Linked DNA regions of Caenorhabditis elegans. The protein of the gene in region 1 purifies or fractionates together with the protein of each later gene. This does not show direct contact. Each region holds a gene or a part of one and is shown on either strand. Other genes may lie near its edges.

Evidence for each region.
Region 2: the proteins of T09D3.3 (region 1) and C35E7.11 fractionate together in Caenorhabditis elegans (co-fractionation; one large-scale study listed by BioGRID). This does not show direct contact.

What each region holds. Positions count from the first base shown.
Region 1 is NC_003283.11:5,345,758-5,353,131, reverse strand, and holds T09D3.3 (EB domain-containing protein), read left to right. Parts: upstream 1-3,560; coding exon 3,561-3,641; intron 3,642-3,685; coding exon 3,686-3,818; intron 3,819-4,239; coding exon 4,240-4,811; intron 4,812-4,856; coding exon 4,857-4,959; intron 4,960-5,002; coding exon 5,003-5,174; intron 5,175-5,538; coding exon 5,539-5,665; intron 5,666-5,715; coding exon 5,716-5,769; intron 5,770-5,814; coding exon 5,815-5,908; intron 5,909-5,953; coding exon 5,954-6,507; intron 6,508-6,551; coding exon 6,552-6,638; downstream 6,639-7,374. Other genes in the region: srd-9 (G_PROTEIN_RECEP_F1_2 domain-containing protein), read right to left, coding at 65-899, 1,159-1,349.
Region 2 is NC_003279.8:10,840,753-10,848,126, forward strand, and holds C35E7.11 (Glutamic acid-rich protein-like), read left to right. Parts: upstream 1-4,019; 5' UTR 4,020-4,035; coding exon 4,036-4,105; intron 4,106-4,147; coding exon 4,148-4,225; intron 4,226-4,626; coding exon 4,627-4,868; 3' UTR 4,869-5,220; downstream 5,221-7,374. Other genes in the region: C35E7.2 (Reverse transcriptase domain-containing protein), read left to right, coding at 369-1,224, 1,669-1,935, 1,985-2,077, 2,371-3,105, 3,411-3,470, 3,516-3,628; vet-2 (Very Early Transcript), read left to right, coding at 6,048-7,071, 7,125-7,349.

The sequences.
Region 1 (7,374 bases):
TTTACAAACAATCGTTATTTTATATTAACTTTATTTGTCTCAAAATTAACAAACTTTCAAATTTTTAAGAATTGTTGGGAACACTTAATCGATGTAACCTCCCCATGCTAAGTACAGAAATTTTATGTTTAGCAGCGAGAGCAACTGCAGAAGAAGCCGGTTCAATTTGTGGAATAGGAATGGTTACTCTTGTAAAGATACGCAAGATTTCCCGGCGATAGGGTCGGATATGGTAAAGTGAAATAATAGATGATAAAAGTGGGATTGGAGCAGGAATTGCACATATCAGACATTCAAAAATTGGGTGGGTAATCAGCCGGATTGCTTGGATAAAAAAGCAGAATACTCCGCCAACAAATAAAACTGGAAGACAAGCTTGCAGCGTCAATGCTCTCAACAGTTGCTTGTGGATGGATTTTGTTTCAGAACGTAAATTCTCGGTGTTTTTCCCGAGACGGCAAAGAATTTTCCTTCGAAATACAAGGATTGCAGTGTAAATCGCAAAAACTGGAACTGTCATGTTTAGGATTGAAAATGTAGCAGCTGGAGATAATGCATCGGATATTCCCGTAACAGTTGAAATTTCAAATGTATAATCTGGGAACTTTGATTTCAACATTCCAAAAATCAAATAAGGATCCGCGGCGGTGAACATTAGCACAATGAACTGAGTGAATGATGGAATGTATATAAAAACACTGAACATGAATACTTTCCACGTAGATGGGGGAGCAGATGAGAGTATATAGTTACGATATGCAAATGATAAGAGTAGTGACCACATTGAATGTATGAATAAATGAAGAAGTGCACTCCAGGATGCGTAACATAAAAATGGATGTCCAAAGTGACAAAGCCCATAAAATATATGGGCCATGGCATAGTCGAGTGGTATGATTCTGAAAATTTATTCACTTGGCTTTAAGGGGTTTCTAGATTTTCTTGAAATTTTCAAAAAAAAAAATATTTAAACTAATTCAAAGTTTAAGTTTGCAAAGTTATCCCGGTTTAGGGCACAGACTTCGGATTTTCTCTTATCCGGACGTTCTGCCCGCTGTCAAAACCGGACGGTTTTCGGAAAAAACTAGTTCTCTCGATTTGCCACCCTTGTCGAGATTTATGTTTTTCTGCATGAAGTTGTAAAAAACTAGGTCTTACCTTGGTGCACAGAACATCATTAGAAATGAGGAAAACATATCCGTGAGTGCAAAGTTGATGATTAGAATTCGGTAGGTTTTGATTTGAGACGGAGATCGGAATATTGCTAAAAGCAAAAGAAGACCATTCAGGACTATTCCGAATGCTCCAAGGATGGCATAGTAAATCATCAGAACGATAACTTCAATCATCCTGAAAATGTTCAATGTTTAGTGTGAACCTTGTTAGAATGAAACAAAAGACGTAAACAAAGAAAAAAGGAAACGAAATGGATAAATGCAGTAGCGTGAGACGAAAAACAACGTGTTTGGCACATTGTACCCTTCATTCTTTAATTTGAACTTTGTTCCCAAAATTTTGCGAAACAAAATTTCAACTCACGTGGTCGCCCGTGGTCAAGCGTGTATCAGAAATGGTCATTCTTCTGACGATGTATCAGAAATGGTCATTCTTCTGACAATTGGCAACCGACTTGTCTCCGAGAGAACTGCAAATCACTCAGCAATCTGGACACATCAAATTGCTGAACAATTCCGGGAGACGTATTGTGTTTGGAGTGAGCACGGCGCTTAAAAAAGCAACAAGTACTCCGACAGGAGTTCTGGATCCAAATGAAGCGGCTCTTTTCACAGTGAAGTGTGATGGAAAGGATGTAAGTGGGGAAAGGCATGAGCGCAAGGGTGGTTGAGTTTTCGGCAATTAGAAGATTTGCCAAAAAAGGAGAATTGTAGTATAAAACTTTAACTTTCTATACATTTCGGAGCGTAGAAATGTATTCCGTTGAAAAATTTTAATTTTTCAAATTAAAACTGCCCAAAACTCAAAAAAGAAAATTGTCGAAATTGCCGAAAATTCAAAACCCGGCAATATGGGCCTACGTGGAAATATCTCCCACTTTTTATCGATCAAGAAGGAAGTTGATGTTTTAAATTTTAAATTTCAAAATTTATTTTAAAATCGTTGTGAAACGTATGACTATGCAAGCTTACCCGATTGATAAAAAGTTGGAAGCAATTACACGTAGCCGCAATGTTTCATTTATTAAAATTTTCAAAATTTTCAGCAAAACGACCGTATCACTATCATCTACACAAATCCTCCAGATGGAACCGACAAGCAGTATCGATCCGAATACTTTCTCCGTGAAGACGCTCTGATCGTCAGAAAGAATCTCTCGACACGCTTTGAGAAGATTACAGCTGTACTTGCAAAATTCGAAAAGGCTAATTAGTTTGTAAATGATATTTTTGCTTAAAAATAAAGTCTGTGTCTTGATTCCGAAACAAAAATGAAAAGAATGACAATGTTTGCAATTCTTTTGGAATTTTTTCGTCAGCGGATTGTGCAGCAGCACGTGGTGATCGTGAGAATGCTTGATCACTTTTAGCTGTGGTCAAGAATGTGTAAACTGGGAACATCGAACACATACTAGAATTTAGTCGACTATGAAATCAAGAGAATATATTTAGATTTTTTTCAAAGATTAAAAAAGGTTTAAAAAAACTTTTTTTTTTCAAGATTTTATGAATCACTTTTCAATCATACTCGGAAGTTAGTCATGTTTTTGTCCCGTTGCGTTTTTGAAAAACTGGAATCTGGAAAACTTAGATTATTGGAGGAAAAGTTACACAAGAGGGTATTTTTTCGAATAATCAAAATATGACAATATATAATAAAAGTTGAAATTTTTGGAAATTTTTGGAAATGTCAAAGTTTCGGTTAATTTGAACAAACATTATGTTTAGAAGTTAAAACATTTTTTTTTTAATTTCAAAAACAAACATGAAAAAAGGTTGAATTCCGGCATTAATGAATTCTCTAGTTTTTGGCATTTTTGCATTTTACCTTATATTAATTGGTTTTTGTTTATGTTATCTTTGATTTTTGATTTGAAAAACATAAATTGACAAGGTTTTATAATTTTTTCCGCAAAAAAAGATCAAATTAATAAATAAATTAACATAGTCAGAAAATGCAATAATTTTAAAACCCCTAGGTTATTCATTTGCACGAGAGTTCTAAATTGATTCAGTCTTTTTATTTATCGCAAAATTGAAAATAAAATTAGAAAAATGCTATACATTAGGGTGATACGGTTAGATTTGGTACAATGATTCTGTCATTTAGGGCAAAAAATCCATAGGTGCTACTCCACCTTCATATTCCCAAAATTCAATAATTATTCAACCTTTTCCAAATATCTCTACCTCGATCATGTAATAAGATAAATCGTAATGATTACGCAAATCCAAATACAAACATTAAAGGAGACGCACGCATATTCTGTCATTCATTAGATAATTTGGAGAGAGGCGAAAAGATATTTGAACAAATAATAAATGAATGTGTCAAAAGTTGAACGGGCACATTTTGATATTCAACGTTTTCCAAATCAGTGAATTATGAGCTTTATCAGTGCGACTAAATTCGTAATATTTTTTGCTGCTTCAATAAATGCACAAAAAGTTGAACAAGATCATTCGGTTCGTTTTTTTAAAATTTTATTGTGTTCACAGGAAATTTTCAGGTAGTAAATAGAGTTTCAAATATTGCGGAAAAATACAGTAATTGGGCTCTAGGAAAATCAGATTATCGAAATGGAAATTTGAATAATTTTCAAGTCACTCAAGTTCAAAGTCCTCCAAGAAACTACAATACAGGTGAGGGTTTCAGATAACTTTTGTAACTATTTTAAAACTCACTAGTTTGTAGTCAAATCTAGTAGCTTGCCTTTTTTTAACTTTTTAGAGATTGAATAGTGTTTTTAACTCAACACTTTTGCTTTTGAAGTTTAGTTATAAACTAGGCAAGACCTAGTTTAAGCTTTGCCCAAATTTAAATGTTGAACAAACTTCTCTCGTGTGGTTTTAAACTTGCCAAAATATTGCTCAACTCTTTCTTACCTGTTGCCTAAGCTTTGCCTAAGTTTGGCCACCTGTTGAACTAGCTAATATTTTTTTGACAAAACTTGGCCAAGAATCTAAATATTGGAAAATACCTAGCAGTTGTAGGAGATTATTTTTAAAAAATTTTCTGATTTATCACATCAGTTTCAAAAACTATACCTATTTTGAATTTCAGCTCCAGTAAAACGATTTTTTCATCAAGTCCGAATCCAGCCGCCTCTTATCATCAAACCTGTAACTTATTCGGAAACATCTTATCAACCAATTGACATCTACTCAACTACACAAACTCCAATCCTGACAACTCCACCATATCCTTCTCGGATTTCTCATTTTCCAACTGAAAATCGTCAAATCTTCCGATCTCCAGTACGACAACATTACCAGCCATCTCCAAATTTTCCAAGACTTTTGGAAACTGAAGTACCAGTTTCTCAGTCATCTCCGATGTTTACTTCAAATTCTTCATTACTCCCACCACATATGTCTCAAAACTTTGGCTCTTCAATATTAACACAACTTCTTAACCCAATTCTACAAGAACCTAATATTCCAACAGCGCCTCCAAATTTACAAATATCACCTCAAATGCACATTAATCCAAATTTCCCGACATTAGTTCCATTACCAATTCCTCAACCGGTAGTTCTTGAACCGACTAAAGAAGAAGTGATGAAAATTGCATCGAAGAAGAATCTATACGGAATGCCAAGATTTCCAATCGAACCTCACCGTGGATTTTTTCAGGTTTGATATATATTTATTAAAACTTCAAACATCTAAAACCGTTAGGCATCAATGAGCTGCATGGATGGCTGGTGTGGAAATGAATGCTGTGAACCGAGGAGACCATTTGCAGCACCTACCACTACGATCCAAGCAAGCGTGCTACCAGGTACAGTAGAAGGGGTAAAAAAATAATAAATTTTTTTTTTCAGGCTCACCAAGCCCACCGCATCCCCTGGTTTTAGTTGTACATCCCGCACCACAGGCACAATGCTCTCCGGCCTGCCAACCTCATTGTAGTCAGCAATGTGTTGCTAGACTTCAATATATGCATGAGTCACAGTTCTACAACCACATTTTGGAGCCAAGTTGCCGTCCAGATTGGTATGATTTTTTATGTAACTGAAAATTTCTTCCATATAGGCGCCAAAATGCGTGCCTTGCAGATCTTCTGCTAAAACACATATTTAAGAACTTTTTTCATCTCGTTATTTGACTTTCATTAAATTGATTGCTATCAGAAAGTTAGTACTTTAGTAAATTTAGTAAATTTTTAAGTAAATTTATGTCAAATTGAAGGAAAAAGGTCGGCAGGTCTCAGGCAGGTAAATAAAGGCATTTAGCTCAGCCAACCTCCTAAATTCGTACAATCCCATAAAATTTTTTTCGAATTTTCAAAACGTCTAAATATAAAATTCGAAAAAAATTTAATTGAATATTTTCATTTAATCAATAATTTATGTTCCAGTATGCCATCCTGCCACGTCGATTGCCTCATAATTCCTCCACAGCAAGTCCGATGCAATAGCTTCAATTGTCAGTGTTTGGCTGGCTACGTGCAATGTGCCGCATTTACTTGTTGCATGAGATACCCGGTGAGAATATCCGTTTGGGAAAATCCAAACAACATGTATTTTCCTTCCAGAATCTGGCTGCAAGAATGAAATCCAACGTGATGGCAAAGTCATCTGAAGAAGAGGTGAGATGGAGGAAAGAGTGTAGTGCCAAAATTGAATATTTTTAGGCAAACGTTAGCGAGGAGGGGAAACAAGATAATGAGATCAGCTATCGAAGAATGTATACGCCTAATAGAATGAGGGCTGGAAAGGGGAAATACGGTTGGGAATATCAAGGGGACATCATCTCGAATCAATTGTTTTCAGACATTGAGAATGTGACATCACCACCAGTTATTAGACCTTCTTATTGGACAAAACATCGAGTGAAGTCAACGAAAGAACCAAAAACTACAATATTCACAACAACTCCAGTGCCATGCCCCACGACCACATCTACGACAACAAGTGCAACTACACTAGTTCCAACCACATCTAGTTCTACAACTACTACAACAACTACTACACCAGTACCCGTTACATCTACAACAACTGAACCTACTACGACAACATATACAACTTCAACTAGTACTAGCACCACAACTACACTTCCACCGACAACATCCACCCCAAAAATTGTGGTTAACCTAACTCCTATCTATCCGGATATGTTAATGAAAGCAAACAAAGTTCCAATGATACCAGCCTACGGAATTTGGACAATTCCGCCCCATGTACCACCCTCTTCAAAAGAATTTGATAACCCATTGAGTGGAATAAAAACCTCGCCAACTGAAAAGCGGAATTCTATTGGTGATATTCGCGGGAGACATGTTATCCGGTCTGAAAACTTTTTGGATGTTCTCAGTGAGCTGGCGCAGGTTTGAAATTCACTTCATGTATCTATCCTACATACAATTTTTAGGTGAAGCTTAAAGAGGATATAACGGATGACTTTTCACATGCAGCAAATTTCATCGATTTTATGACGGACAGATTTAGCAAAATTTAGGAAAATTTTATAGCTGGATATTGAACTATTGGACTGAATTTATGTATTTGTACAAATAAAATATTTCTGAAAATCCGAGAGATTTTATCATGAACATTTTCACATTCTAATGTTCTAGAAAATGGAGTGCGGGATTTTTTTTCACCATTTTTTTGGTTTCTTCACTGATAAAATCAAAAGAATTGTTGTTGTTGTTGTTGTATCTGATCTTAGAAACTTTAAAAAAAAGTATTATTAATTATTTGTTTACAGTTTGGTCATTCAAAAAATGTCATTTTTCAGCTATATAAACATTTTTAAAGCCTTCAGAATTTTAAAAATATAAATCAACAGAGTTTAAACTGATAGAGGTGGAGTAGCGCCAGTGGGGAGAAAACCAAAACGACCGAATCTCATAATAAAACACTCCAAAGTTTTAGATTTTTCATAATTTTCGGCCAAGTTTTGGATGTTTGCCAAAATTTTGAAAAATATGAGCTTTTGATGAGATCCAAAGCACTTTCGCTTATTTCGACCCTTACAATGTTATTTTATAAATAATTAAAATAAAATTAAAATATAAAACATGTTGGAACATTTTTTTTTTGGTCGACTTCCAAAAATATGAGTGGCAAAAACTGGGCAATTGTCACTTTTTGACAGTAAATAAAAAAGTTTCCAAACATTTTTGAAAAGTTTTATTGTGATATTCGGTCATTTTGGCACCATAGGAGTAGTTTTTACACTTTCCCCACTG
Region 2 (7,374 bases), on another chromosome or scaffold:
TCATTATAATCCCCTTGAGATAATATAGTTGGGGAACACCTAATTAAATCTGAAAAGTTCAAAACATCAATTGGAACTGCACTATTTTCATCTAATAGTAGCCTAGAGAGTCCAAGGATCAACTCAACGAACAGTTCAAACTATATATAATCCCATTGAAGACGCAGACAACGAGGCACTCTTGCTGTCTGCGTTTCTCACACTATTAAAGGGTATTAACTTTCTACTTTCATAACTTGCCTAGATACTTATCAATTTTTTTCATGACAGCCTTTTTGGAATTTCCAGTTAATCTTGATTTGCTGTCTTGTTTCTCAGCATTAAATTCTCAATATATTAATTTAAAGCCTGAAATTTTCAGGTAAAAAATGAACACCAGTGAATACCAAAATCCTCCTTCAAAATACTCAACATCAACCCAAACACCCCAGCTACCAAAAGTAGCCCGCATCGTACCAAAATATTCAGTCGTTTGCGAGAATTCACTTGAAGTTGTTCTCTTTGGAACAGATAATGGAGTCTTTGGAAAGTACATCTTCAAGAATAATGAGTTTCTAAAAGCTCCAGATTGCGTTTGCCAATCTTGTTTGCGGGCTGATGACATCAACCTCTTTACTGATTCGGTGGAAGTTCAGGGATTGAGAGCAACTGACAAATTACACAGAGGCATTGATGGACAACGGTTGATGTGTATTGGAATATCATGGATTGGATGTAAGCAGTCAGGAGTTATGGACACATTTGTGAATATACATGGAATAATTGGAAAGTACCGAAAAACACCGGAAGGCTTGATACTGAAAGACGAAAACAAGGCCATTGCGCTTCTACCAAATTTTCCGATTCAGAATACTCAAGCAATTATGGAGAAGGATTTGCTTCTTCTCAACACCAAAATATGCCCTCATGTATCCCAAAAAATCTACTTCTGCAAAACCACAAAATCAGAAAGTGTACACCAAGTCGTTCTCAACAAATTAACCCTCCACTTTGAAATTATCAAATGTTCAGTCTGTACTTATGATAAAAACTTGGAATTGGAGTATTATGACAAGAAGACGAAACTTTATGCGGAAACGGTGAGATGTGAGACGACGGAAAAGTTTGCAATTGTGCGATCAGCTAAAAATGAGAATATTTTTCTGTCGACTTACTGTCCGAAGACACTTGACCTAAAACTCCAAAGCCCAGTTGCAATGGAAGAGAGAAAATTGACAAATTCAGGTTGGTGTTTTGAATACGTTCTTGCATGTTTATTTGATGAATTGCGAATTTTTCATAACTTCGAATTTTATCTTTCAACTCTCTTTTTCTATAGCCTAATAGATATTGGGTTGGAAGTTGGTGGGGCAAGGGTAGTATCAAGGTACTGTCGTGACACGGAGGTGTAATGTAAGATTGTTGTAGGATTACTGTAGTTTTTGAAAAAAAAAGCGAGTTTCAGTCTTTTGAAGATGTGTTAAGTTCTTGTGAAAAAATAATAAAAAATATGAACATTTATCTGCAGTATTTTCCAGTAAATCACAAATTCCAGTCAGTATTTGGTGTACTTTTTAATCATTTCAATAAAATTGAACATTGATTCCAAATAAACCAAATTATTTTTTTATACTTTACGTATGGTATATATGAACTGTACAAAATAACTTTAAAATACGATAATTTCAGAATCAAATAATTGGTACAACACATCAAAAAGTTGCGAGGAGAATATCCTCGAAAAAATGTGCCCAGCCAATGAAAATCACCAAACTCTTGTTGCCACGGAAGGCGCAACTTTTGGCACAATATACTGGATGATGAATGAGAATTATAAAATTGATCCATTCAAAATTGCGCCAACAATTCCTGGAACTGGAACATTTCTCACCATCTTGTCCAGTTTGGACGTTTTTAAAAGCCGGAAAGTGATTGCAAGCAAGTTTACTTTATTCGGTGAGTTTTCGAAGAGTTTCAATTTTTAAAAAACTGAAAAGAATTGCAGAGAACGTGACTCCTAAAGACTTGATCGATCACAGATGTGAGGATTGTGAGAACAACGTGCGTCCTACAGACGCATGGCTTGAGTCTGATAAAGGTAATCAATTGAACTGATCACAATGTAGAGTAGAGTAGAAAATTTGGTTAAGCTAATTGTTTTTCAGTCTACCATAGAAGCCCCGTAGAACTATTAAAAATTTGAGTAAAAATAATTAATTTTCAAATCTAAAAATCTGAACATCTGCTTCAAACATATTCGTTTAGTACTATTTCGATGCAACTAATTTGCTAAATATTTATATTTGTAGCCAATTTCTGAACCAACTGAACATTTTCTGATAAATCTTGAGCAAGAAATTGGCTTCAAAAGTCGCAATGAATATTTTTAAGGAAAACCTACTCTACGCAATCAAATGCATCCGGATTACCACCCGACTTACAAAAAGAATTCCGAATATGAAGATGCACAGGAGGATTTTGATGATATTGAGCTGAAAGTTTTCCAAAAATTGTGTAATATGGAGGACAACTTGTTCAAGCAGATAATCGATTTTGAAAAACCAAAGGAACAGTTTACCGCACCACCACACCCACAAATGACTCACCGTGTTGCCCAACCTCATTATGTTCCAGTGGAATATTTCAATCACACGATATCAGACTTGCTTAGACAAATATCAGGTCTGCAGCATGAGCAAGCTATGCAAAATGGACAAATGCAGCATATGGCCAATGAAATTCGAAGCATTGGAAATGCAGTTTGCAGTCTACACTCATCACAACTACAACAGCCGCCTAACAGTGCCGCAAGCATGTTTCCGTACCCGATTCATCCGATGCCTTCAACCTTTCCACAGCAAGCACCTCATGCTCCAAATGCTCCTCAAATGACAGCCAACTCAATGCAAAGCATCGCAGAGCTCATACTCGCGCAAAGAGGAATCGCACCAAGAAGAGAAAGACGTCTCACAGAAGGTCCTAAAAAGTATAACAGAGTGATCCCACCTTCACCCCGAATTCCAAGTTCAACTGATAAAAAGGAAATGCTGAAAAAATCGAATGATCGGTTTGATAAGCTTAGAGAAGAAGTTTCCGATGTAAGGACACAATTGTCTGGTTTGGAAGGTACGTTGTTTCTGTCAGACATTTTCAACTTTCTAGAGCACCCCGCAAGCTTTTTCTCGCACACTCTCAACCTTCTGTCGCAGAAATTTGTATAAGTATAATCACGTGCAGACGACTATACGATCTCTAAGGGATCCTTGATGCTTTGAGCTTGAAGCTTTTGATCTTCAAACAGGACAGAAATCAAATTTGGAACTATCAAAAGGCATTTAGCGCTCAAAAAATAACGGCGAAAAAAGATTAGAAGCGCGTTAGCTACCAAGAAAATAAGCTCGCCAGAAAAGTATAAGCCCCTATATTTCCAGACACTACTTTCAAAAAGCCGAAAAAGCTGCACTTCCTTGAACCAGACGAAGAATCAGAGAGTGAGAATTGAAATGATAAATCTCAGTTTAATTCTCAAGTTTCAGGCGACGAGAACGGCAATGATGTGGACGAATTTTCAGAAGCTGATGATGATGATGAGGACGTGGATCGAGAAATGAAAGTTCTTGTCGAGTCACTCAAAAACCGCGTTCAATAGTTTTTTACCCCAAAACTCAATCAAACTACTCTCAAAAATTGAAATTCCTATATCTTTTGATTTCAATTGTGCATGTTTTTTCTTATCTTCTTCCTGTGTTCTCATCCCCAATTTTCTGGTTTTCATATGGAAATCTGTGACAAAACGATTCCATATCCTCAATTACACATAGAAACCCCATTTTTACTGTACGTTTCCAGCTACCTTTCCTTTCATAGTATCCTAGTTTCACTTGAATTTCCTGCTTTTTCGTCCTGCTATAAAAAGTTATACAACTGGGAAATAACCCCGGGAAACTAAATTAAACTTATTTAAAGAGTTTATAATCTCTGCTTTTTACTTTTCACTTTTAATTTATTTTTTTTTAAACTAAATTTTCAAGCATTTTTAGCAACTGCAAACCAGCCATGTCCGAGATCGTCGAAGTTCCAGATTCTCCGCCAAGATCTCCGGAAGTCGAGTGCCCATTCAGTGAGGGTGAGGAAAATTTATCTGAAACCCTGATAATTTTTTTTTCAGAAGGTTCCTCCGAAAAGTCGATGGAGACTAGAAAGCGGGTCGCTGAAGAGGCTGAGGGGAAAGAAGGCGACGATGATGGTTAGTATAGTTTGAATATTTAAATTGCAGACAAACTCGGAATGCATTTAAATTTATTAGAACAAACTGGAAATTATTTTTGGTAAATTTTCAAAAAGTTCATCCGTTTAGTTTTTGAGTGATTTCAGTTTTTACCGAAATTTTTCTATGTTGAACTAAAATATACGACATTCTTCTGTTATTTGCAAGACGTCGCCAATGTTTTCGAATTAGTTTTCAATTTATTTTATTGAAATATTACTCAAAAAATATGTTTGGCGAGTTTTAGAAAATTCTGACAAAATTTTTTGTTGATATATTTTTACTATAATATCTCATAAAATAATTATAATCGTCTAATTTTCAATGAAAAATCAAGAAATACAGACAACATATATTTTTATATCAGCATAAAATTTCAGTTATCGAAGTTCCACCACCAAAGAAGGTGAAGCCATCCTTTGAAGAAGTTCATCAGCTCATTGAAGACGACACGTACGACGAGGAAGAGCTCAAGAAAGCCAATGGAGGATCCGTTGTTGAGGAAAAGGGTTCCACTGAAGTTGAAGCTCAAGATGAGCAAGTTGCCGAGAGTGAGGAGCAACCAAATGAGCCGGAAGAAGAAGAAGAAGAGGCTGATGAGGAAGAAAATGACGAGGAGTAGATTTTAAATTGTCTAAAGATTCTCTTTATAATTATAATCAAATACCACTAGATCTTTCCATTTATTCTCAAGATCTCATCTATCATCATATTAGCGTATGAATCGTAAAATCTCAAAAAATGTTTGTTTGTTTTTTCTGGACCTTTTTTTTTAGCTCAAGCTCAAGCAAAAAGCTCAGTTTGCTCGCTTTTTGTTTATTATTTTCAAATAGCTCACAGTTTTCAACGTCTCGCAAACAGTTCTTTTTTTATTCTAAACCATTTTTCCCTCATTTTTACACTTCAAATGTCGATTTCTATAGCTTTTTTGGTTGTTCTGGAGTTAAAATTTAAATAAACTAGATATTGGCTAACCTACATTCGATATGTTCTTGAGATCATTAGATGTCTAGAATATTAGGTCAATTGACAAGAGGACTTTCTTACATATTGTCACACTATAACAGGTGCTGTAAGAGGAGGCGATGTCTCAAATGGTAGACTGTTGTAAAAGGAGAATATCGTGAAGAGATAGAGATGTACCAAAAATAAAGAATCGTAAACTTTCCGATCGATCAAAATACATTCCTTCCCATCTACATCGTTAATGCACTCCCTCCAGACTCCACCCATAAAAAACCAATCAATATTTACTCTAGACATCAATGTCTCTCAATTTCCTATTGTGTCTCTAATTATTGGAATATTTTCCAGCGTCCGAGAGCGCACAACAATCTGGAAACACAAAATGTAGTCATTCAGTCTTCAATTGTTTCTATTGTTTGGTCGAAGGCCCCTTTCTCATGTTTTATTCTTTTATTTTTCCTTTATCAGTCTTTATCTCTGTTTACGTAAATAGGAATTACTTTTTGCCCTCAATGTCAGCTAAATTATTTTACTCCGAAATTAAAAATTGCCTTATGAGCAGTCTGCTGAAACTTTTCAGACCTTGTTTTAAACCAAAATTTCCACATGTCAAAAAAACCCATATTTTTTCTTAGTAGAGCATCAACCCAATTTTCGCTACTCCAAGATTATCTTCCTGTATAATATAATTTGCACAAAACCGGCCAAAAAACTGAACAAATTTTAAATTGAAAAAGCAAAATGTGTTGTTCATTTCCATATCCTCGTTTTTTTTTATCTTTTATATTTCGATTCATACCAAATATATTTTCAGATTGATTCAAAATTTCTCAAAATGATCACTGGATATTGTGGTTTCTGCAAGACCGACTACGTCGGAGTGGATCACGGAAATAAGTGCTATTACAAATACTACTACGACTACGATCTCGAGGAGTTTATGCCACTGAAGTGTCTCGACTGCCAACCAAAAATCACCGAGAAGAACCTTTTTCCACAAGAAGGAACATTTTGGGATCCGAAGATGCAAAAAGCCGTGATGCCATTTCATAATGTTGTGACAAATTGGATTGAGTACTACATCTATGATATCAAGGAGAAGTGTCTCGAGCAAATTGAACCAGTGGTTCCACCGGTATCCTATGATCCAACTCCAGTGGGCGATCGGATTTGCATTGTGGACTCGAAAACTGAAACTATCTTGATTCGTCGTCATCCAGAACATGGTCATGTTTGTACTCAACAATTCATCAATGGAGAGTATCAAGATGTTCCAAATACAAAAGTGAATACTCTTCAAATGAAGGAGCTAAAGCGGTACGGTCAATGTAGAAGTCTCACTCATTATCTCAGGCTTCCAATTCTCAATACAAGCTACTGCTTTAAAAGCGATCAATATATCGTTCGGGTGCCGGGAAGAAACAACGAGAAGCCGAAGGAATTCTATTTTGATAGAGAATTCAGCTGTTTCATGCCATCACTTTTAACTGTACCAGAGGACATTCTATACCCTGAGTACTCGGTTTGGAGTGAATCCCTCAAGAAACATGTCACATTTACCGCAGTCTGGAATGGAAGAAGCGAGATAATTGAGCAGTACGTGTATAACTGTGAACAAGGACAATTTGAACAAGTACATGTACCGGAGCTTGTCTACGATCCAAATCATGAAGTTCCAATGAACATTTTGTTTATACAAATGTCAAAAGACAGACCAATTGTGATTATGAAAGATGAAGATGGAAATTTTGTGAAACAAGAGTACGATTCATTGATTGACTGCTTTGTAGCAATTTCACCAAAAGACGCAAAGATTCTTCCACGCGAATACGACGAGAAACTTATATATGGAAAATACGGTGAGTAAACTTGTTTAAAAAATTAAAAATTAGATTTATTTTGAATTTTTCAGGTATGGCCATTTATTCCATTAAGCCAGAGCCAGTGAAGAAAGTTGGTGGGCCATTTGGAGGTGTCAAAGGAGGATCATTCGAAGGACTTCCAGAAAGACCAGAAAATGGATTTTCATTTGAAACTGAAAAAGAGCAATCTGCATCGACTGGTTCAGAATCACACGATGAGCAGGAAACTGTAATTGAAAGCGAATCAATAACTGATTTCCTTTCACGAATTCTAGGTAAGCCTATTCTATTTGATCTTAT